Linked DNA regions of Stegostoma tigrinum. The protein of the gene in region 1 interacts with the protein of each later gene in a pairwise test. Links are inferred from orthologs where the notes say so. Each region holds a gene or a part of one and is shown on either strand. Other genes may lie near its edges. The genes, in order: coiled-coil domain-containing protein 158-like and gpsm1b.

Region 1 (12,903 bases):
AGTATTGTTACAACCACTGCCTCGATGGTAAAACTATTATAGAAAAATAATTTCCTTTCAAAGCAACCAGATGTAGATTAATTTGTAATTCTTTTGTCCCTTTCTTCTTCTTTACTTAAAGAGTGCATCCAAAACATAAAACCATAATTGAATTCACTTCTATTCTGAATATCAACAGTAAATATATACAGAATATAATTAACAACTAAGAACAAAGAACAAAGAAATTTACAGCACAGGAACAGGCCCTTCAGCCCTCCAAACCTGTGCTGATTGAGATCCTCTGACTAAATCTGTCATCTATTTTCTAAGGGTCTGTATCCCTTTGCTCGCTGCCCATCCATGTACCTGTCCAGATATATCTTAAAAGACAGTATCGTGTCTGCGTCTACCACCTCCGCTGGCAACGCGTTCCAGGCATCCACCACCCTCTGCATAAAGAGCTTTCCACGCATATCTCCCATAAACTTTCCTCCTCTCACTTTGAACTCATGACACCTAGTAATTGAGTCCCCCACTCTGGGGAAAAAGCTTCTTGCTATCCACCTTGTCTACACCCCTCATGATTTTGTAGACCTTTTTTAATGTGCTCAAAGTTATAAATTCCCTCAAACTATCAGTACAGAATTTAATTTTAGACTGTAGTTATTATTGATGTATTGTATGTCTTGATAGCATTACTTTTAAAAATATGTTTCTGACATTTATCAAGTTATTTCCAGTTCCTTAACAGTCAATGACTGTCCTAGTAGATTCGCCAACGGTAGTAGATTCGCCAACGGTAGTAGATTCTCCAAACGGTAGTAGATTTGCCAACTTTAGGTACATTTAAGTCGTCACTGGACAAGCATATGGATGTACATGGAATGGTGTAGGTTAGATGGGCTTGAGATCGGTATGACAGGTCAGCACAACATCGAGGGCTGAAGGGCCTGTACTGTGCTGTAATGTTCTATGTTCTATGTTAGTGACATACACCTTGATATTTCACTGTTCTGAATCAAAACTAGAGATACAGGATACTGGTTTCAAGGAAATTTTCTGTGTGATTTTCACCTCAGTACACTCATGTTGTAAAAGAAGGCTATTTTAAAAAGTGTAGTCATCCTCAAGGAGTACCACAGTTGACCATTTCCAAGTCTGATAAATAACAATTAACCATCACTCTTAGTTTTCCATCTGAACCCAAAATAAACAACAGGAACTGCAACAGACAAATTTTGAATATTATTCAAATTAATATTGAAAAGATTGGAAAACATAAGTTTGGTGAAATCAAATAGAAATAAAATCTACAAATATGACCAGCAGGACGGGTGCATTAGAGGGGGAAAGGGCTGGAAGTGATGCAGGGGAGGTAGTACTGCTGGAGTTGGCTTTCCAATAGGAAACAGAATATTTATTGTTTTCTATAATTAATGACTTGATAACTAATTTACAGTTTCAAGGTGGACATTTCTTAAATCCCTACAGTTGTGTTATCAGGTTATTAATTAATTATGCTGACTTTATTTGTAAACAAAACTTGACTGAGATAAATACAGGATTTGTAAATGTGAACATCAATTATCAAGTTATTAATAATAAGCATCTCCTTTTTTTAAGTCATATTTGCACCTGAAGTCATTGTTTTTATATAGTTCTGTTTTCCTTGGGTACAGCACAGGGAAGGCCAAGACAATCTTTTCACCAAATGAAAGCAACAGAACAGGCCATTAGTGAACCAGTAAACCTAGATCTGTCAGTTGTCATTTTAAAGTCATATATTCAGTTGGTGGTTAAAACTATATATAATTAATTGGGAAGGGTCGCAGTAGATTGAGAAGCAGGCTGGGAGTTTTAAACCTGAGGCAAAACAGTATCACTGACAGCAGGATGTAATTACCTATGACAAATTGATGGCTGCAGCTTAAAAGAATAATAAGTCAACAAGGGTGGCATCGTGGCTCAGAGGTTAGCACTACTGCCTCACAACGGCAGGGACCCAGGTTCAATTCTACCCTTGGGCGATTGTCTGTGTGGAGTTTGCACGTTCTCCCTGAGTCTGCGTGGATTTCCTCTGGCTGCTCTGGTTTCCTCCCACAGTCCAAAGAGGTGCAGGCTAGGTGGATTGGCCATGCTAAAATGCCTATAGTGTTCAGGGATGTTTGAGTTAGACATGAGGAAATGCAGGGGTAGGGGAATGAGTCAGGATGGGGTGCTCTTCAGAGGGGTGTTGTGGACTTGTTAGGCTCAATGGCCTGTTCCCACATTGCAGGGATAGTACGATCTATGAAATGGAATTCTAACAGATAATGAAAAACTGAGCTTTTAGAAAGAGCCATAAGTTATCTTGGTTTGTGTTTTGGGGGTGAAAAATATTTGTTGACTTAATTTTTATTGCTGGTCATTGTTTTATTACACAAAGCAATAGGTTTTTGCTGCCACTTGAACTGGACAGTGATTGACTGGACTTTAGCAGAAGTTACCATTTGTCACAGAATTTCCATGGAACAAGATGTAATACTAAACTTAACAAAGAAATGATTTTTATTTCAAAAATATACTTTATTCATAAAAATATCTTCATATACATAATAAATATAGTAGTTCAGTTCCATACAGTGGCACATGATGAAACAAACAAACACTGCAGTTTGACTCTAATAATCTCATAACAAACAAACTCACTGCATTTCTTACATGTACAAGACTATATTTACATATACTTGAGGGACCTGGATAGTCAAATAACTTAATGGACTTCCATGTAGTTTCAGCAGAAAGACCTTAGAGAGTGGTCTTTTCCCACTGTGCCTTGGCAGCAACTACCCAAGCTTTAGTGCGTTTCTCAGCATGTAGTCCTGGGCCTTGGAATGTGCAAGCATGTAACACTCAGTTGAGGGCAACTCCTTGCTCTGGAAGACTAACAAGTAATCTAAAGAAAATTTATCTTACCTATTTCATCACGGACAAATTTCCATTTATCTAATACACACTGTCAGCATGCCCCAAAGCACTTCAAAACTAATTACTTTTACTGTGGTTAGGTTGGGAAGTACCACAATCATTTTCTATATAACACGGTCCAACAAACAGAAACTGAAATGTGTGACAATAATTCTCTTTGGAGGCCCAAATATTGTACAGAAGAATATCCACATCTTCTTTGAATATGTTATATATATATGCATTATGTAATCCCCAAACAGGCACAGAGGACATTGCTCTAATGACAAAGTCATTGCAAAGTTGATCTTCCCTGATCATCAAGTGGACATTCCTAACAAAATTTACTCAGTAAATAATTGGAATGTCTGTCAGTGAACAAAGCAGTGTAACAAGGAGAAAGATAGACAATGATGAATTAATTCAATCAGATCCACCATTATATAATTGAATGGCAAAAGAAATTTAATGGTCTAATCCTACTTCTAGTACATATGCAGTTTCAGTTGGAGATTTTGGTAGGAATTTCAATCTTTAGATTGTAAAATTAAACACTCTATGGGAGCAAATTGTCAATTATATTTTAAACTGTGATTAATCTCCAATTTCAGTATATTGTTTGTTTACAAATATTTATAAAAGTTGAGTTTTATGTCCCAATGATTAACTTAGTAACTACAAGATAAAGATATTGAGGCCTAAGAGAGGATGCAGAGAGATTTATCAGGATGACACCAGTGATGAGGGACTTTTGATGCATGGAGAAGCAGGGATCATTATTTCAATTGCAAAGTAATTTAAGGAGGATTAACATAGATAGCACTTCATGACCTCAGGGGTCTCTAAGAATTTAACAGCAATGAATTAATGATAATGGGAACTGCAGATGCTGGAGAATCCAAGATTACAGTGTGAAGCTGGATGAACACAGCAGGCCAAGCAGCATCTCAGGAGCACAAAAGCTGACGTTTCGGGCCTAGACCTTTCATCAGAGAGGGGGATGGGGTGAGGGTTCTGGAATAAATAGGGAGAGAGGGGGACTCGGACCAAAGATGAAGAGAAAAGAAGATAGGTGGAGAGGAGAGTATAGGTGGGGAGGTAGAGGTCAGTCCAGGGAAGACGGACAGGTCAAGGAGGTGGGATGATGTTAGTAGGTAGGAAATGGAGGTGCGGCTTGAGATGGGAGGAAGGGATGGGTGAGAGGAAGAACAGGTTAGGGAGGCGGAGACAGGCTGGGCTGGTTTTGGGATGCAGTGGGGGAAGGGGAGATTTTGAAGCTTGTGAAGTCCACATTGATACCATTGGGCTGCAGGGTTCCCAAGCGGAATATCAGTTGCTGTTCCTGCAACCTTCGGGTGGCATCATTGTGGCACTGCAGGAGGCCCATGATGGACATGTCGTCTAAAGAATGGGAGGGGGAGTTGAAATGGTTCACGACTGGGAGGTGAAGTTGTTTATTGCGAACCGAGCGGAGATGTTCTGCAAAGCGGTCCCCAAGCCTCTGCTTGATTTCCCCAATGTAGAGGTAGCCACACCAGCTTCTTTTCTCTCCATCTTCGGTCTGCCTCCCCCTCTCTCCCTATTTATTCCAGAACCCTCTCCCCATCCCCCTCTCTGATGAAGGGTCTAGGCCCGAAATGTCAGCTTTTGTGCTCCTGAGATGCTGCTTGGCCTGCTGTGTTCATCCAGCTTCACACTTTGTTAGCCAATGAATTAATGCTGGTTGCAATCACAATATGATATAAGAAATGTGTCTGACAATTTTCATATAGCAAGTTCCCAGAAACAGTAATGTAACAATGATCAACACCGTGTTGGTGGCATGTTGATCAAAGCGCAAATATTGGCCACAGCACCACGTGTAACTTTCCTTTCAAAATAGTTTTATGGGATCTTGTATGGAAAACTCCAAAAACATATGCAATCTTGGTTTAATGTTTCATTTAAAGTCAGCCCCTCTGACAATACAACTCTTTCAGTTCTGCATTGGGAGGTCATGGTATGAGTGAATTTTGGGAAAAATGCTGTACATTATTTGACTGCTTATGAAATTGTTTCTGATATCAATGCAGAAAAGAGTTATCTCAGAGTCAATTACATAAAGTTTTATGGATTATTCTTTCTTCAATTACAAGTAGTTGCAGATTCAACTGTAATCTTCAAAAAGAAATATGTGTGTGTTTGTGTGTGTATGTGTGTGAAGGAAACATTGCAGTACCATGGAAAAGGGTTGGGGAGTGTGGCTAATTCAATAGCTGTTTCAGAGGGGTAGTACAGCCATAATACGTTGAATAACTTCGTTCTGTGCCACACAAACCTGTAAATTCACAACATCACAGCAGTATCGAATCACTTGACGGTTTCCTTTGGTGAACATTTGTTTGTAATTCGACAGAAAACTATAGGAAGATTATAAATAAGGGCAATATTTCCCTGAGGACAGTTTTTCTATGACAGTGTATCACAAGGCTATAGTTCGTATGCATGAACCTTGGGAAAAGTGCTGTACGTTATCTGACTGCTCATGAAATTGTTTCTGATGTCATTGCAGAAAACAATTATTCCAGAGACAATACATACAGTTTTATGATTATTCTTCTTTCTTCAATTATAGCATTTAAGAGTAAGAAACATGTACAAGAATCATTCACATTTGCCTTACATAAAACCTTCAAAAGTGTGGCATCTGCTTTGATCAATCTGATTCCTCTACTCACTGGTACCAATCTGCAATGATCTATGAGGTAGTGGCATTTTCAGAGGCTAAAACCAGCATATTCAATGCCTTGATTTAACTGGGGATTGACCCATGACTATTAGGTGTTTTGCAGGTCCAGAATTTGCTGGAGTGAACTCCATTCATTAATGTTTATCCCAATCTTCAGCTCAAAATGTTGCTGCCCTGCAAATTACTGCGTTGTTAAAGGGGTACCTGGGACTTTGACAAACAACCGCACTGAGCCCTTAACTGATCAGATATACCAATGGTTACGGAATCAGAGAGATGACAAAGGAAGAAACTGTGATTTAAAATCAAGTCAAGAACGGAAATAGAAACATACAACGGGAAATAAAGATGACATTAATAGAGAACACAACGACAGAAAAGGTAAAACAATGAAAATAAATTCTGATTTAAAAACTTTAAGGATCAAATTACTACTTCCCGTAACGAGACTTAAACATTTCATATTTTCCCTTTCTAGACTAGACAATTATGAGAATATAAATCGTGGAATTACGTTGATAAGTACCAACCCTGATTTTCAGCGACAAATTTAATCTGTAACGAATATTTAATTATAGTAATAACTTGAAATTAACAAGGAGACAGTCATCCTTGTTATCATTTCCACATAACTATTAGCGGGAGAGTACATATCTTGGGGCAATTTCAGGTGATTCACAATTCACACCATTTCAGCTCTATGACAAAAACAATTGCTGTACAATTTACACTCCAGTAATGGCACATGCATTAAGCCTTCCATTGTTTTGCTAATTATCGACCAATCACAATAATTCGGCAAACAAATGTCAGAGTTCAGGCAGGATCATGGAGCAAATAAAAATGCTAAGAGTCAATGGGGTGTTGACCACTTGCCTCTACATTTCGCTTTCTAAAACGTAACGCCATCAAGAGCGCCAGAGATTCACCAGCATCCAAACATTAAGAGGCACCAGTTTCAATTCTTATTGCCCGTGATCATGATAGTTAATAGTCCAAATACGTTCCTCAAACCTCAAGGGATTTCCTACGTCAAATCTTCATGTTTTAAAGTGTTCAGCTGGGGGCCACGTTAGTGTTTTGTGGATGTATACAACACTTCCGCAAGGGCAGGTTAAGTGGCACTGCCACCTGCTTGAGCTGGGAATCCCTGCAGCGGCCGTCTTTTTGTGACGTCACAGCGGTTGTGGTTTATTTTTGGGGGGTCTATTGTCACTTCACAGAGCTGCTGGGCGTAGGAACGGCGGTTGCTAAGATACGAAGCGTTGGAAGCCCGTTGGCGTTCTGCCGCTTGTTCTCCCGCGGCAGCCGGTTCCCGGGGACTTTGGAGCGATCAGGCCAAGCGGCGGTGACTGACGCAGCAGGCGGGGGAGGTCCCCGGTGACCGCTCGGATAGAGCTAGAGGCAAGAAAGGCTTCTACTGTAACCAGGGGCGACAGGTGGCGTTTTAACCGAAGCCCTCCGAAACCTCCGTGTGCGCGCACAATTAGTCAACAGCTTATTTTTTTGTATTATCTTAAAGTCACAGTCTTATCCTAAATATATATTTTTTAGCTGAACTTGCTTGTTTTAAATAAATAATCACATAGATTCCTATATTTATTTACTGTAAATGCGTATTTTTCTAAGTCAGCCAACGTTAATGCCTCAAAAGTTTTTTTTATATAAAATCGCCTAAAGTTTATTTTTAAACAAAAAAATGTCCGTTTGTGAAACTGAAGCGGAGGAGAACCCAGCGCCCTGTGGCGATATTGCGGCACTGACCGGCAGATCGTCCCTCGATTTGTCAGCAGTCTCCAGATCGTTCGCAAGTGAGTATTTCGTGATGAACTCCCTGTGAGGACATTTTCTTTCACTTGTTTTAATTCACGCGGCGCTTTGTAAACCGAGGGTGAGCTGTGGGCCTGTCTAATCAGAGAGGGCGCTGCGACATGTAAATATCCATGTGCATGAGTGCTGGCTATTTGGATATTGTTCGGGTAGGAGGAGCAAAAGAGAAGCACTTTCTGTCTGAGGTAACAAAGTGTGGGGCTGGATGAACACAGCAGGCCAAGCAGCAAGTTAGGAGCACAAAAGCTGACGTTTCGGACCTAGACCCTTCATCAGATGCTGCTTGTCCTGCTCTGTTCCTCCAGCTCCACACTGTTATCTCGGATTCTCCAGCATCTGCAGTTCCCATTATCTCTGATCACACTTTCTGTCTGAAACCAGGCCGCAATTCTACAAAGCTTCTCAACGCCAGTTAGGATTAGGTGATAAATGCTGGCCCAAATCCCCTGATTGATTTTTTTTCTAGAAAAACTCTTGTGATCCTATGGAAGGCTGTAAGGAAAAGCTAGTGTTGGAGCGCTGCAGGTTTCCGAATTCTAGTGAGTGTACCTTCACTCCAAGCTTTTGTTTCTTACTACTCATTTTTTAAAAAAGAAACCAAGGTTTTCCTTTCACCAAGAGGCCGTGTCTGTCTTTTGAATGAGTCGTTAATTCACCTGGACCTCTGAGGCAGGTTTAATAAAGGGCAACCAGTACAGTTTTAAAGCAAATCGCAACTGACTGATTTGATTATATTTTTGAAAGTAGCAGAAAGGTTTGAAGAAGGTTGTGCAATAGATGTGCAAATATGTTTGGCCATTCTAAAAATAATTATGAAAAGGTAGCATGTAATGGATTTATTTTGAAAGGACTATGGTATGAATGTGCTTGTGGTGATTTGAAAGATTTATTCTAAGTGTATCTGCTCTCTAAAGTTGTGTTTTTTTAAAATCCCGGGATACAACCCAGCAGCTTCAAGAACATATCAGTCTTTAGTCCCATTAATTTGTGTAATCCATTTTCCGTAGTGATATTTATTGTGTTTATCCAGTCCAAACCCTCACTCCCTGCTTTTTTTTTGCTATGCTATTAGCACTCTCTACATTGAAGACGGATGCAATATATTTTCTCAACTCCTCTGCCGTTTCCTGGCACCCCATTAACATTTCCCCAGACTTGCTCTGTAAAGGGCCTATATTCACTGAGCCCCTCTATTCCGTTAGTCACATTTTTGTTTTTATGTTACTTGCTAGTTGCCCTCAGTTTATTTTCTGCACTTTTTTAATCATCTTCTGTTGGGAACATTTTGAATGCCAGTCTTCTGATTTACCACAAATCTTTTGGTGTACTGTTTCAAATTGAAATAAAAAAAATACAGTCTTTAACTTCCTTGGTTAATCATTATCGGTGTATTCCTTTCCTAGTATCAACTTTCCTCACCGGGATTATCTTTGCTGAGAGTCATGAACTTATTTTTAAAAATGTTTTCCCTTGTTCATCAACTGCCTTTTTCAGTTCAATTCCTCTTCCAGTCCACAGCAACCAACTTTGTTCTCAATCTCACAGAATTACTCTTATTGAAGTTTAGCACAGTTGTTTCTGGCCCAAGCTTCCATTTCTCAAACTAAATGCGACACTCTACCTTGGTACAGTCACGATTGCCAGGGATGTGTTGTCCTCAGATCATTTGTTAAAGTGGCCTCATTACTCATTATTAGATACAAAAGAGACTGATCCCTGTTTGGATCCATAACACACAGAACTTTAGGCCACATTCAGAATATTGTGCACAGTTCTGATACTCACATTCGCAGAACGATGTGGAGATTTTGTGGAGGATACAGAAATGGTTTACCAGGATGGTTTGGAGGGTATTAGCTATGAGGAGAGATTGGGAAAATGTGGTTTGTTTTGACTTAAATGCCAAAGGATGAGAGGTGGTCTGACAGGAGTTTACAAACTTGGTAGAGGCGTGGGTAAAATGGATAGTCAGAGCCTTTTTTTTTCCTCCCAGGGGTAGAAGTATTAATTGGGGATGTAGGTTTAAGGTAAAAGGGAATAAGTCTAAAGGAAATGAGAGGCAAATTTCTTCATGCAGATGGTGGTACCTTTCTGGAATGTTTTGCCAGAGGAAGTAGTGGAGGCAGATACAACATTTAAGAGTCGTCATGACAGATAGATGAAAAGGCCAGCAAATGAGAGATATCGACCGCATAGCAGCGAAAAGTACCCTGTGCCAGCACAGTCTTATTGGGCCACAGTCTTTTTTTATTGTTCTAGAAAACTGTCCCAAATGCACTTTGAATTTTTCCTCTCAGCCACTCTGCCAATTTGATTTTTCTCCAGTCTATGTGTAGATTAAGGTCTCCTATGGTTAGTACAGTGCCTTTTTACCTTCTGATTTATCCTCTGACCTATAGAACAATTACTGTTAGGCGGCATATAGACAACTCCTACCAGTGTCTTACTTATTCCCGTTCTATTTCTTACCTCCTCCAATCTGAATTCAATATCTTCTGATTCAAGGTAATTTCTTACCAATGTAGCAATTTCATCTCGTACTAATAAAGCCATCCCACCCCCACCCCTCCATTCTCTTCCCTTCCTGTCTGTTTTCTCGAAAGGTCGCATACCCTTGAATGTTCAATTCTCAACTTGGGTTTCCTTTTAAACCATAGCTCTGTAATGGTTATGAGATCGTAACCATTAATCTGTCTTTGTGCCATTAATTCCATGTGTTATGTTCTGAAAAGTATTCAAAGTAATGCAACAAGGGTAAAATATTAAGCATGAATTTTAATCTTTATTTAGAATAGATAAATCAAATTTTAAATTATAGTATGGAGGACAAGTTAATGGAATGCATATAAGGTAGTTTTCATGATCAATTTTTTTTGAGCAATCGATTTGGACAGAGAATTATTTACTTCTGGTATTATGCAACCAAAAAAAATCGGTAACTTGCAGTAAACCAATTTGAGGAAGAGTGATTACAACATGAGAGCTCAATGGTGAGTTTGAGTGATTTAGTTTTGATTGAAACTCTGTTCTTCAAACTGAGCAAAGCAAACTTAAGGAGCAATTGGGCTAAATCAGGTTGAGAAATATGATTAAAAGCTAGATGACCGTTGGCAAAAATGTAAATAAAATTAGTTGTTGCAGAAAACTTAGATTGCCTGAACAATTTAAAACCTCATGGAGGGGTGGGGATTCAACCAATGACAAACCTACTACTTTAACTTTTCACTCACCAGAGATTTATAATGTTGCCAGGAAGACTTGTAAGTCTAGGATTCAGTTTTCCTTATTTTATAGCTACAAAGGATATTTGAGATGAATAAGGAAAGTAAGAATGGGATATGAAAATACACTAGTAAGAGAGAAGGAAAACAGATTGTTAAAGACTTTCATTGGTTAACTGAAAGAAAGCACTAATTTAAAGGTGAACTCACACCTCTTCCACATTTTTTTTCAAAATGAATGAATCCTGTAGACACAATAGGTACATCCCTAATGGCAAACCGTAACAATGGAATTCCCTTATCCCAGTCATGATCTGTAATCATGCTTTAATGGTTGATGCCAGGTTTGCAATGTTCCTTGAGATTGTGGTTGATTAACTAAAGATATAAATAAGTTTATTCCCAAAATATTATTCCTTTGACCATTTGTGACATTAAATTTAATCCTTGGTACAATTGTTATTTTTGAGTAATTCACATCGCGTTCCTAAAAAAAGGTTTCCAACACCATTTTTGCTGTTTCTTTTGCAAAAGCCACTGCCTCAGAAAGTCTGTTGAAATGTTAAAAGATACTGATGCCCAATTCTATTTTTAGATTGGGGTCCTTCACAAATTAGTAAGATTTGCTAAATAGGTTTTCAAAAGCTTATGTTAGATTTAAACGCATAAGTTTAGTTGGCTAATATTTCCCCCACAACAAAACAAATGGGTGGCATGGTGGTGCATTGGTTATCACGGCAGCCTCACAGCGCTAGGGATCTGGTTTCGATTCCATCCTCAGGAGACTGTCTGTATGGAGTTTGCACATTCTCTCTGTGTCTACATTCTCTCATGGCCTGGTTCCACACTGTAGGTATTCTATGATTCTGAATCTGCCTGGTAAAACTTGACTATGTTAATGTAATCCTGGTCAATCAATCTTTTAGTATTTTAGCCTACATTTTCCTGATACATAAACTGGAGTTTGATTAGTTTTAAACTGAATCCTAGCTGCTACTAGTGATGAAATTCAGATTTACCTCCTTTGCTTGTAAATTAATAATTCAGACATTTATCGCATTTATCGAGATCCTGTTTTTCTTAATTCATTATTTCTCTCAGTTTAGCTTTCGTCAAAGATTTCAATTAATTCATTGTTAAATGATTTAAATGGCGGAGTGGACTTGATGGGCCGAATGGCCTTACTTCCACTCCTATGTCTTATGGTCTTATGGTCCTAAATTTTCTACCGCAAGAAAAATCTTTGGAACAGTCAAATTTATTTTGAAATTCCAATCTTTGTACTATACTTCCCAACAAGTCCTGCTTTTGTGCACAGTATCGTCATGCACTCGATTCTTTACAGATCTTCAGTGGTTTTCTCTCCCAGAGCTCCTACTTTGTATCCAGCTGATGGTAATACTAGAAAAGTCAGATTCTAGAGTGAATCGTGGCTTATTAGAACGTAAGTTTTTTGTTTTGCAATTTGTTTACTGTGGTGGTCAGTCACTGAAATAGTCACGAGACTGCTAATGTGCTTTTAATAAAAGAACACAAGTTTATTACACGCAAAGGGGGAAAACGAAGCTTTATCAATGACAATTTAGATAGATCTCATCATGAACTGCACCTTTTTACCCCAAAAAGATCCTCTTACAGACTCAATTCCTGTGAAGTATCATTCTCATTTTATTTCACTACTACCTTGTAACCTTGCCAGTGAGTAAGAATTTTCTTTCGGCAACTTTCATTGTTCAGATGTGATTCTTTCTATTACTGTCTTTCCCTGAGAGACAGGCAAACTTCTGGACATTGCTGACTGAGCTTCAAGTTTAAAAAGTGGAGACTGTAACTACTTTGAGTCAGCTAAGCAGCACGTCTACTGGTCTGGGTCTTCTGAATTGTTTTTGACCCCTGGCTCCTCTTTAAGTGGTTCATGAAAAGCTTCAATTATGTCAGTGGATAGCCTTTCTTATTGTTCTGCTAAATCATGTAATTTCTTGGAATATTTTTGACTCACTGCTTGAAAGAAAATGTTTTTGACCTTTTTTTTTAAAAAGAAATGTGTCACCCTCACAGAATTGAAAACCCAATCCCATTTACCTCTACTTTAGGGTCTGAGTTTTAAAATAATAATAAAAACAGTAATGCATTAAAACCTTTGTCACAAGTGATGAAACATCCTAAAATGTTTGGGCCTGAGGAAGTCCTGCAGTG
Region 2 (13,150 bases), on another chromosome or scaffold:
AAGTGGGAATAAATCCAACGCCACTACTTTTAAGAAGAATGCAGGCTTCCTTCCTTAAATCCTGGTCAATATTTATCCTTCAAACAACACTTGAGAAACAGATTGTCTTGTCTCTGCTACCACATTACTTTTTTTTGATATTTATAAATTGGATATGGGGCATCACTGGTTAGACCAGGGTTAATTGCCCATTCCTGGTTGACCTGGACGTTAGTTAAGGTTTTTGATTGTGGCAAATCGCTGTGAGCAGCCCCCTACAGTACAATAGTGACAATGTATATCAGTGCTTCATTGGCTGTAACGTACCTTGAGATGTTAAGACTTTAAGGAGCAAAAGTAGGCCACTTCGCCCATACAGTCTCAATGAGATTGTGTCAGATCTGAGCATCCTCAACTCCACTTTCTTGCCTTTTCTCCATTAGACTTGATTCCCTTCTTGATCAATAATCTGTGGCACGTCAGCTTTGAACATGCTTAAAGACCATGAACGTACCCGACAGCCACTGCCGAAAACTAATTTTGGATTCTGTCTACTTTCTGGGAGAAGAAATTCTTCCACATCTATATCAAATGGAAAACCCCTCTATTCTGAGATGATGCCTTCTAATATAGACTCTGCAGCAAGTGGAAATGGCCCTCCTCATCCACCTTGCCAAGCTGCTAGGGGGATTGTGATGGTGCTCCTCGTCAAGTTGGTCACGAAAGGCACTGCATAAATGTATTTCATAATGTTTACACTCCTTTCTCAATCCCATTTATTAGTATTCTTGCTCTCCTATCAGGGTCTCCCGGGCATATTCTGCATGTACTCTATATGGCACCATTCATGATCTTGATCAATTCCAAAGCGCTACTTGGCAAATCAAGTATTTTTGGAATGCAGCTGTTGTTAAATTGTAGGAAGTGAAGTTCCCACTTTGCGTGAAGTGAACTCTGTCAAACAAAGTGTGATGCTGGCCAGTGATAATGGGAACTGCAGATGCTGGAGAATCCAAGACAATAAAATGTGAGGCTGGATGAACACAGCAGGCCCAGCAGCATCTCAGGAGCACAAAAGCTGATGCTTCGGGCCTGGACCCTTCTTCAGAGAGGGGATGAGGTGAGGGTTCTGGAATAAATAGGGAGAGAGGGGGAGGCGGACCGAAGATGGAGAGAAAAGAAGATAGGTGGAGAGGAGAGTATAGGTAGGGAGAGGATAGGTCAGTCCAGGGAAGACGGACAGGTCAAGGAGGTGGGATGAGGTTAGTAGGTAGGAGATGGGGGTGCGGCTTGGGGTGGGAAGAAGGGATGGGTGAGAGGAAGAACAGGTTAGGGAGGCAGAGACAGGTTGGACTGGTTTTGGGATGCAGTGGGTGGAGGGGAAGAGCTGGGCTGGTTGTGTGGTGCAGTGGGGGGAGGGGACGAACTGGGCTGGTTTTGAGATGCGGTGGGGGCAGGGGAGATTTTGAAGCTGGTGAAGTCCACATTGATACCATTGGGCTGCAGGGTTCCCAAGGTTGCAGAAAAGCCAGGCCCCAAGATGACTTTCCACATTAAGCAGAGGTTCACCTGCACATCTGCCAATGTGGTATACTGCATCCACTGTACCTGGTGTGGCTTCCCCTACATTGGGGAAACCAAGCGGAGGCTTGGGGACCACTTTGCAGAACACCTCCGCTCGGTTCGCAATAAACAACTACACCTCCCAGTCGCAAACCATTTCCACTCCCCCTCCCATTCTTTAGATGACATGTCCAACATGGGCCTCCTGCAGTGCCACAATGATGCCACCCGAAGGTTGCAGGAACAGCAACTCATATTCTGCTTGGGAACCCTGCAGCCCAATGGTATCAATGTGGACTTCCCCAGCTTCAAAATCTCCCCTTCCCCCACCGCATCCCAAAACCAGCCCAGTTCGTCCCCTCCCCCCACTGCACCACACAACCAGCCCAGCTCTTCCCCTCCACCCACTGCATCCCAAAACCAGTCCAACCTGTCTCTGCCTCCCTAACCTGTTCTGCCTCTCACCCATCCCTTCCTCCCACCGCAAGCCGCACCTCTATCTCCTACCTACTAACCGCATCCCACCTCCTTGACCTGTCCGTCTTCCCTGGACTGACCTATCCCCTCCCTACCTTCCCACCTATACTCTCCTCTCCACCTATCTTCTTTTCTCTCCATCTTCGGTCCGCCTCCCCCTCTCTCCCTATTTATTCCAGAACCCTCACCCCATCCCCCTCTCTGAAGAAGGGTCCAGGCCCGAAACGTCAGCTTTTGTGCTCCTGTGATGCTGCTGGGCCTGCTGTGTTCATCCAGCCTCACATTTTATTGTCTGTGATGCTGACCAGACTTGCTTGTCTAATGTTGATTGAGGAATGAATATTGACCTGGACCCTGAGAGGACCTCTGCTCCTCTTCCAAAATACTGCCTGCAGAAACTCTTACATCTGAGGCTGTACAGGACATCGGTTAGGTCACTTTTGGAACACTGTGTTCAATTCTGGTCTCCCTGCTATAGGAAAAATGTTGTTAAACTACCAAGGGTTCAGAAATGATTCACAAGGATGTTGCCAGAGTTGTTGGAGGGTTTGAGCTGATAGAGAAAGAGCTATAGACTCAGGGTATATTCCCTGGAGTGTCGAAGACTGAGGGGTGGCCTTATAGAAGCTTATAAAATCTTGAGGGGCATGGATAGGGTCAGTAGTCAAAGTCTTTTTTGCCAGGGTCGGGGAGTCCAAAGCTAGAGTGCGTGGGTTTAAGATGTGGGGGGAGGGGAAAGATTTTAAAGGGACCTAAGGGACAACTTTTCCACGCAGAGGGTAGTTCATGAGCTGCCTAGAAATTGGAGGAAGCTGATACAATTGCAGCATTTAAAAGGCATCTGGATTGGTTATATGAATTGGAAAGGTTTCGAGGGATATGGGCCAAATGCTGGCAAATGGGACTATGTTAATTTTGGATAAGTGGTCGGCATGGATGAGTTGGACTGAACTGTCTGTTTCTGTGCTGTATATTTCTATGACTTTGAGAGCAGATGGGATCTGGGAATAGCATCCTATCTCTCAGATGGTGGCCCTTTTTTTTTGTCTGGATTGTGACTGTAAGTGCTGAGAGAACTGGGGGATAACTCTCTGAGCAGGCAAAAAGTAGGTCTGTGAAACCAGCTAAAGACATTCCTAGATAACAGAAATGCCCCTTCCTTAGCCACCTCCTTTGGGAAGTTGGCTGGCCTCCACTCCCAGTAGTATGAAAGATGTGTTGCACTTTATTTTGCTGTATGAAAATGCCCTGAAGTGAGCACAAGTAGAGTTGTCTTCAATTTCCAATGATAAACCCTAGATCTTGATTCCTGGAAAAGCCTTGAGCAGATAATTTGGAAACAAATCTTGTGGCCAACACAGCCTGAACAAAGGCAGTTAATTATTGTATCAGTTGTTGCAGATGCTGTATTTATTCCATTTCAGCATAATCTTTTTGGATATTAAGTTGTTTAATTTAAGGTCAAAATGTACACCAGGGAGGGGCTAAGTGGAAAAATGGGGCATGACCTATTTGTGGTAATTATCCTTACTGCATTTGGGGTTTTGCTGCATCAAATGGGGCATGACCTATTTGTGGTAATTATCCTTACTGCATTTGGGTTTTGCTGCATCAAATGGGGCATGACCTATTTGTGGTAATTATCCTTACTGCATTTGGGTTTTGCTGCATCAAATGGGGCATGACCTATTTGTGGTAATTATCCTTACTGCATTTGGGTTTTGCTGCATCAAATGGGGCATGACCTATTTGTGGTAATTATCCTTACTGCATTTGGGTTTTGCTGCATCAAATGGGGCATGACCTATTTGTGGTAATTATCCTTACTGCATTTGGGGTTTTGCTGCATCAAATGAACAACTATTGTTTATATTGTCACCATTAACAGTGTGGTAAACCAATCCACCAGCAGCTTCACAACATTAATTTCTAGGAAAAGTAGTTGATTCCAAACCATGGAAGATATCAGGTAATCAAAAAGCTTGATCAGAGAGCTAGGTTTCAGCGTGCGTCTTTAAGGAAGCGGGAAGAGAGGGAGTCTGGACCTTGGGATTTAGGTACTTGAAGGTACATGAATGTCAAAATGCAGTGACGTGAGTTGGGGTTTGCAAAGAGAGACAAAAGTCTTCGAAGGTTATAGGTTGCAGCAGATTGTGGAGACAGAAAAGGGCAAAGTTGAACATCAAAGCTGGTCACTGGACCAGCATTAACTCTGTGTTTTCTCCCTCGACAGATGCAGCCAGACCTGCCGAGGGGTTTCCCTCAATTTTTGTGTGTTTCAGATTTCCAGCATGTGCATTTCTTTGTTTTGTTATAGTTAAGTTGCACTTTTTATCTACAAATAATTTGAACAATGAATTTTGCATTGGTTTTGGAATGCTGAGTTGAGAACTGTCATGCTGGAGACCCAGCATAATCGAAAGGCTGGTGTTGGTTGACACTTTTTGAGGCTCTGCCCACATAAATGGCAGTCTTGATGGGCTAATTATGTTCTCTCATGCGATACATGCAGTACCTTTTTGATCTGGGCACAGCAGTCAGTGCGCTGGAGGCAGGAGCATTTGCTAAGATGCCATGAAAGGCATGTCTTTGCACAGTTGAGGTTTGGAGTTCAACCACTTGATTTGAGTGTCATTTAATAGCGATTGTTGTGTAACAACTACTCATTTTGTTTAATGTGAACTGACTGCTGTTTCTGGCACTTAATGCTGAAATTCTTTACTAGTTATTCAACAAATCCTACTCAACTACTCTACGAGGAGGAATTTGAAGGACTTTCACAAGCGTTATCAACATACCTTTAGCTGATTAGCCATCATCAATGCTGTACCATGTTCCAAAGAGAGCTTTTTTTTCATGGAATTACCTCCTGTGGAGAAGGATAATTGATATTTGCTGGGAGTAAAATGACCGAGAAAGAGTACAAAAGACTATTTTTAGTTTTAAAAACTCTTCTCAAGTTTGTATATACAATGAATGCAGTCTTCATCTAAGGTATTGAACTATGGATTCAAGCTTTTACTACTTCCTTCAAAAAGCAGAAAAATCAATGGCCTTTATTAGAAATAACAATGGAAAAGTTAAAACAGAGTGAAAAGCATAAAAAATGTAATAAAGCTAGTTTGGCAGTGAAACATGGTGCTGCAAGGAGTATTTGAAGCAAATAATTAAGATATGGGGCAGCTGATGGATATTTTTGTTGGTGGGGCAGCACAGTGGCTCACTGTTAGCACTGCTGCTTCATAGCATTGGGTCCTGGGGCCGAATCTAGCCTCGAGGGACTGTCTGTGTGGAATTTGCACATTCTCTGTGTGTCTGTGTATGTGTCCTCCGGGCTCCAGTTCCCTCCCATAGTCCAAAGACATGCAAGTTTGAGTAGGTTGTCGATGAGAAATTGCCCATAGTGTCCAAGGATGTGCAGGTTAGGTGGATTAGCTATGGTAACTGCAGGGTTACAGGGATAGCTTAGGAGGGTAAGGCTGGGTGAGATGCTGTTTGGAGGGTCAGTGTGGGCTCAGGCTGAATGGCCTGCTTCCATAGTGTTAGGGATTCTAGGATTTCTATGATACGTTTTAGTGGAAGCTAGATGCTTGCTACAAGGTGAAAAGAATTGAAGAATCGGCTCATGGATCTTGATTAAGGAAACATTAGCATGAACTGAATAGCATGTTTCTGTGCTAGAAATACCTGTATTAAAGATTGAAGTGAGAAGAATATTAGAATTTAATTATTTGTTTGGAGATGGTTGTGGCTTTTAACTTAACTGCTTTCCATCTTGTTTCCTGGTGAAGATGAAAACTTTGAAAGAGAAGCGAGAAGCACACAGCTGATGCCAAGTCAGAGCAACAACTGTGATCTCTCGCTCGCTCTCTCTCGCTTCCTTTCTATTTTCTTTTGGATACTCATCCAAATCAGTCACACTGAAATAATGCCAGATAGTGATGAGGGCTGTTGCTAAGCTGCACCTCATTGTTGCTATGTCAATGACGTTTATTTAGCATGTTATTTGAATCACCTTCTTGTCTGCTTTTCAGGGCTGTGATTTCCGGCACTAGCTTCCTAACATCTTGTTCCCTTTAAATACATATATATATCTGAGGAAGAAAGGAGTAGATGATTATTGCAGGTTTAGATGAAGAAAGATGGTATTAATGCTCTACTAAACACAGCATGGACTGGGAGGGCTGAATGGCCTGTTTCTGTGCAGGTAGCATACACTTTGTGTTGCGACCTCTGGTGTTGATGTTAAATGGTTAATTTACTTCTAACTTTTCCTTGATTATTAGGATGAATTATCCTGCTGATTTGAGCAAAACTATGTTCTATTAAGACTGCAAAACATCTGAAAATGACTGACAAGGAATGACTCGCTGCATCAGAGCGGTCCATTATTCAAGATGCCTACGCTTCCTATTTCCACCCACACCATGTCATCTGTGGGAGGCAAAAGTTGTGGGGGGAGGGGTTCAGTGGGAATAGCATCAATAGGAGTTGTAGTTACCCAAAATTGTTATCTGATCCCTTCGTATCAGAGGCCAAAAGAACCTTTGCTCTATCAGCAAACCAATTCATGATGCCATTCAGAGAGGTTGCTATGTTGCCTGCAAGCCACTGGGTAAGACCAATGTCTGAGAGGCAGAATTCAGTGAATGGGTTTGAGTAGGATTGATAGATTCCATTTCAAGATCCCACATAAGTTGAATTTCACGTCAATCATCCATTCTCCACCATCAGTTGCCTGCCTACCAACACCACCCCCCCCCCCCCCCCCAATCCATGCCCACCTTGAACCAACCACCAGGCTCTTGTGTATTTCATGAAACAGCAATTCCAAAAAGATGGCTTGTGGTAACTTTGGCTTATGTGTGAGCCCTTTGAGTCTGCTCCGCCATTCAATAAGATCACAGTTGATCTAATTGCAACCTTAAGCCCCTATTCCAGTCTATCCCAAAAACCTTTCAAACCCTTACTTAACAAGAATCTCTCGAGCCCTGGCCTAAAAATGTGCAAAGATTCTGTCTCCTGTATCTTTCTTCCTAAGACTTGGCATTTCTTCAGTATAATTTTTCTTGGCCTAATCTTGTTGCAAGTTGCTGCATGCAGATGCTGAGCTGGTAATCCGAGGGTTAACGGACACAAAGCTGATGCTGGCACTTTGCTGAATTATAGAGGATTTCTTTAGTAGCATTAGTTGGACGATGACAGCTGTGAGTCGTCATCTGTTACGTTGGGTGAGTCCATACACTCTCGTTTGAGCTTCTTGGTCAGCAGTGGTGTTCGTACATGGATAAATTGTTCCAGGAGACTGCCTGTTTGCTATAGAGGTGAGATAGAGCGGGCAACAACAATTCAATGTCAATTTTGTCGAGATTAAATTGGCTTTGTGCACCGTTGTCACCTTGTGTTCACTGTGAGTACAACTTCTGAGTTGAGAGACAGCAGCATGTATGTGTCTTGAATTTGCGTGATCTGGATATTGATCCTGTGCTCTTCATGGAGCGTTGCTTCTGCTACAATGCCAACATTACAGTTCAAAACTCAACCTTTGGGGTTCAACATGGCAGAGATGGCGGTTTCCAGACTTGTCCATCCTGGAGCAAGGCCTCGCGCTGTCCTGCTGCCAGTCAGCCTGGAGTTGTGGTTCTATGTCCAAAAGATTAAGAACATGCAAAAGAAAAGGTAAAACTGTTCTTTTTTCCTCTAAATTTTTTTTAAAAATACACATTCAAGTTAATATCTATCAGTACATATCTGTGGAAAGTTATCACTTCAACCTGAACTTTGCAGCAACAAGTATCTATGGGATGAATAAGGTTTTCAATGGGTTAAATCATTGGTTGTGATTTTTCACACACTGATGCCAAGTGCCACCAGTAATATCAGGAATTGAGATAACTTCCCTCTTTATTTCCTTCCTTCTCCACCCCGCCCCCCCCCCCACCTCTCTCTCTTTTTCCCCACCCCACCCCCATGTGTATGTATGTGCTGCTGAGAAATCTAGATCAGGTCTAGTGTTTGCCATGTACATAACATTAAGTTTGCAAAGAGCTAGAAGTGCAATTGGATGCTATGTTCATGTTGAGATATTTGTAATTGCTGGGGGCAGGGCAGCATGATGGAGTTCAATGGAGTTCAATCCTCTTCTTACTTGCTTACACTGCATATCTTTTGAAGAAGCAGACTCGTGATAATTTATCCAAAAAAAACCCAATCTCTTGGCTGTGGCACCACATAGGATGTTAGTGATGACGGTTTCTTCAATTTACCACTCAATTAAGTGGAAAATCCAAGCTGACATTCCCAAGTATGGACCTAAGGGAGTGCTGTGCTGTCAGATGGGCTCTTGTTCAAATGAAACAATGAACTGAGGGGCCGTCCATGTTGCTGAGAAGACAGGCAGGTTTTCCCTGGGATTCTACCTGATCTCAAACCAATTGGTCACTCACGTTACCATGTACAGGAACTTGATGAGTGCAAATTGACTGCTGCATTTCCACAGTGTGTCCATTTCAAACAAATGCTTAATTTGCTGTAAACTCTTTGGGCCATCCTGAAGTTACTTGAAAGTGCAAGCTGTTCCTTTTTGTCAAAATGTAAAAATCTGAAATTATGTCTGAAGTAAGTACCAAAGGAAGACTTAACATATACCTGTCTAAAATGCCCAAGCTTATGGTCACAGCCAAGGTATGATAGATTTAAATGGGATAACATATCTTATCTTAGATGGTTGCTACGGTTGCACTTCAAGCCTGAAATGAGTTAGTGTGGATTAGGATTTCCGGCTTTCTCGTCTAACCAGAAGAATTTTGTGACCACCACTCGGAAATGGCGCCAGTCACTGCTCACTGCGTTTTTGGCAGGGACCCACCATTGCCACCATGTTGCGTTTGGGTTCCATCAAGTTCAAAGTGATGAAGTGTGGAATAGGATATCGACCATTCTGTTCTAACTGCAAGAATTTTGTTGAGTGAAGAGCTTGAAATTTACTGCAATGTAGTGAGTATTTACAGCTTACATGAATATGACCTGCATTGTTGCAGAGACTTGGAGGAGCACAACAGCACTAGGTCTGCCTCCTATGAGCTGCTTCCTCACCTGGACCAAGTCCTCATGACATTATTATAGGTTGTCTTTAGTTCCATCTTAAAGAAGTTGCAGGCAACTCCAACCAGAAAGTTTTATAAATGAGTTTGCCCAGATATCCCACAATACCAAAGTGGTCAAATAAATATGGACAGAAGCCAATACCAAAGTAAAATGCTTCCAACTTTATTAAGAATAAAGTTACAATAATCTTTAATACTAAACTTATCTTTAATACTATTTGGCCCCTTAAGTTTACAATACTCTGAGTCTTTAATAGATTTACACAGTTTCTCTGTCTCTGAGTCTGCCCGGCTGCGTTCTTCCTCTCTGTCTGGATGGTTAGCTGGCCTCTGTGTCTTGCCATGCTGGCCGCCTTTTCAGAAGGCCTTAGATGATTCCAACAGCAGTTCCAACAGAGAAAGTTGTAGGTGAACCCTGCTTTTATACCTTTTTATGTGGCTTTCTGGAACTTCCTGTAGTTCTGGCCAATCAGGGACTCAGACTTAATAGTTTCAATCAAGAGTCAACAATTTAGATGGCATGCTGCTGTGTGTTTCTTGTGTAGCAGGACCCGGTGTCTTTCTGACTGGGCTCTCTGTTTAGTGGAAAAGCTGTTGGATATGTCTGTCCAGAATAACTGTTGCTTTTTACATTATGCCAATGTCATTAGCACTTGGCTGCTGTGTTTGCAGTGTGTCTGAGATGTGGATTTTGATTTCAGAGTTTTACTTGGCCAGTGTACCCAGCATCCCTTGCTGTTTGGTCAAGTTCGCAATCTGTCTGTGTGTTTTAACAGCCAGGAGACTGCTCAGTGATCTAACTGCACGCAAACAAATATTAACCCTTTCAGACCCGCAGACAGCAGTGGTAACCTGCAGCCCAAATAGTCTCACTTTAGCGACTTTGACATTTCTCAGTAAATCATCACATGGCACTAATTGCAGGACCTGATTGTAAAGATGTACTGGTAAGCTGAAACATAGATACAGGATAACATGCTGTGTCGCAGTGAATAATCACGTATAAGAGTGCGCAATTTCAGGTAATTTCAGAGCAATTTCTTTAACCCACCGACTATTGTAGGAAAAGAAAGACAAGTTTTTTTTTTCATTCACAGGAGATGGGCATCGCTGGCTGGTCCAGCATTTATCACCCAACCTTACCTGGTGGTTAATTGCCACCTTAAACTGCTGTCGTACATCGGATGAATGCCCAAAGTGCTGTTAATGACTCAGTGCAGGGTTTTGACCCAGTGATAGTGAAGTAACAAGAATATTGTTTCAAATCAGGATGGTGTCTCTTTGAGGGGAACTTGCAGGTGGCATTTCTTCCATGTGTCTGGAGCAGTTCAGCTTCTGTTCAGCGGTAATCCCCAGAATGTTGACAGTGTAAGAATCTGCAATGGCAATGCCATTGAACCAAGGTTTAGTTTAGCTCGTTGGATCATGCCATTGCTTGGCACTTATTTGGCATGAATGTTACTGGCCACTTTTCAGTTCAAGCCTGAATATTGTCCCAGCCAGGTTGTATTTGGACGTGGACTACCTCAGTCTCTAAGGAGTTGCAAGTGATGCTGAATGTTGTTCAATCATTAGTAAATATCCCAACCTTAGACCTTGGAAGTTCATTGAAGAAGTTACTAAGGGTGTTTGGGCCTAGGGCATTACCGTGAGAAAGTCCTGCAGAAATGTCATTTGGGTATGACTAACCTCCAACAATCATAGCCATCTTCTTTTGTGCAAGGGTGTGATTCTAACTAGCAGGGAGTTTTCCCAGTGCTTCCCATTGATTCTGAGCTCCTTAGTGCTATACTTGGTCAAATTCTGCCTTGTTAAGGATAGTCCCTTTCCTTTCTCCTCTGGCGCTCAATTCCTTTTTGCACATTTGTACAAGTCAACATATAGGCTTAAATTAGGCCATTGCCATGGGCAGGGATGGAGCCTGAAAATAGGCAATGAAGTTTGGTATAGAGATCAAAAGCAATGCTTTCAGTCTTTCCAATATTGTATTGGAGGAAGTGCTTGTTGTCCAGTAATGACTGACTTGAAAGTACAGAGATAGGAAGAGTGTGGAGCAGGAGAAAGACAGAACAAGAGAAGAGATCTGTGACATACATACAGGATTTACAAACTGACATGTGCTGGTCATGGTGTATGACAAACGGCAGTCCGATAGCTTGAACAAGTACATAACGAAGGAGTTGAACTCCAGAGGAGAAATGAGAGTTTCTGCCCTTGATGTTAGGACAGGGTTTGACAAAGTATGTCATCAAGCAGTGGGGAAACAAAAGATAGGTTTGGAGGAGATACATTGAAAGCAAAGCCACTTAACATGAGCACGTCTCTCAAAAACAGTGGTTATGATCAGACCTTAATGAGCTCCATAGGGAAGGTTGTAAAACGTTTATTCAAATGATGTGATGCTGTTGTGCGAGCTTACATCGGAACATCAGGAGGTAAAGGGCAAAGAAGAGTGGAAGTGGATTTGAGAACTAAAATGCCAAATGATTGAATGTTCAGGGGCACATTGAAGGCAAGTGCCCAGCCAAATGATCAATCAATCTGTTAGTCCAATAAGGAGAAGAATGTAATTTGAGCAGCAAACACCATGTTCCAAAGCCGCCTACCTGGTTGTATTTATAGCCTTTTATGTTTGAACCATAGTAGCTACTTGCCAATAAATGGCTTCTTTCAAGTACAACCTCAGGATTGATTTACACTTCCACTTGTTTTCTTGCTGAGTCTTTGCATGGAGCCAAGTTTTAAGGAAAATCTTGGTAAGCCTGGAGCTGCACTCTGGGTTGCTCTGGTGATGTGATCTTCTCAGTGTGCTCCTTAATTTGATGCAATTGAACAACTTTCTTTTGTCATTTCAACTTGTTTGTAGCCAACTTTTATTCATTCAGATACAACTTGTATTCTTAGTGCATTTCTGACGGGGTCCTGAGGCAATTCTGCAGTCAAACTTCCCAACCTCCTTACGTGACATGTAAAACAATCTCTCAACTGTTGAAAATAGTTTTGGGGTTATAATTAACTCTTTGCAAGTAAAGGTATTTTTGAGAATGTGAGGCTATAGTCTTCAAAAACTGTGTTATTGGACTCTGCCCAGTTACTAATTATTTCCTTCTTGAGTGCTGTGTGTGCTTTTACCGTGAGATTTTTACAGGGTAAGTCGCCTTATGACACTAGACAAGAAGAACGGTCTACTCAAGGCCAAAAATGGAGACTGAAAATTTACCTGAGACTGTTCGGGAAGTAAGTAAGCCCTCCAGCTAGTCAGAAGACAGTCTCAGGAGAGGCTATGGCCTAGTGGTAGTAATTCCTTGCCTCCCTCGATCTGAGGAAGGGTCACTGGACCCGAAATGTTATCTCTGATATTTTTCTTCACAGATGATGCCAGACCTGCTGAACTTTTCCAGCAACTTTTGCCCAGAGACTTTTCCCCAGGGCGGGATTGACTGCAACAAGGTGTCATAGTTTTAAGGTGTTAGGAGGAAGGTTTAGAGGAGACGTCAGAGGGAGGTTCTTCGCCCAGAGAGTTGAGTGCATGGAATAGTTTACCAGTGGTAGTCATGGAAGCGGAGTCATTAGTGACATTTAAGCGACTGCTGGACGTGCACATGGACAGCAGTGAATTGAGGGGAATGTAGGTTAGGTTATTTTATTTTTGGTTTAGGATTATTCCACGGCACAACATCGTGGGCCAAAGGGCCTGTACTGTGCTGTACTTTTGTAAGTTCTATGTTCTAACTTCTGTTTTTACCTCTGGAATTACAGTCCAGAGATTAGTACTCAGTGGCAAAGCTCCTCCAAGGATTGGAGGTGACAGTGGATTTTTCAAGATGGTGGCCACAGCAAGGTGACATCTCAGAGGAAGGCAGCCGGAGCAGGACTCTTAACGAAGCAGTGGCCTGGCCTGGCAACAGATCCAGGGACTGCTGGTTGTACTGGGCCCAGAGTGGGGCCTCCTGGCATTGGCAGGGCGGTGGCTGCAGTATGGCGTGTCCAGAGCTGGGACAATTAGTATCACTGAGGTGGCAGTG

The links.
Region 2: the proteins of coiled-coil domain-containing protein 158-like (region 1) and gpsm1b interact in a two-hybrid assay, tested with the Homo sapiens proteins (2 studies listed by BioGRID and IntAct). The link is inferred for Stegostoma tigrinum from reciprocal best matches to the Homo sapiens genes CCDC158 and GPSM1.

Annotation. Positions count from the first base shown.
Region 1 is NC_081354.1:76,627,313-76,640,215, reverse strand, and holds the start of coiled-coil domain-containing protein 158-like, read left to right. Parts: upstream 1-6,754; 5' UTR 6,755-7,355; coding exon 7,356-7,467; intron 7,468-12,903.
Region 2 is NC_081382.1:38,894,506-38,907,655, forward strand, and holds the start of gpsm1b (G-protein-signaling modulator 1b), read left to right. Parts: upstream 1-7,368; 5' UTR 7,369-7,534; coding exon 7,535-7,698; intron 7,699-13,150. UniProt on the Homo sapiens protein: Guanine nucleotide dissociation inhibitor (GDI) which functions as a receptor-independent activator of heterotrimeric G-protein signaling.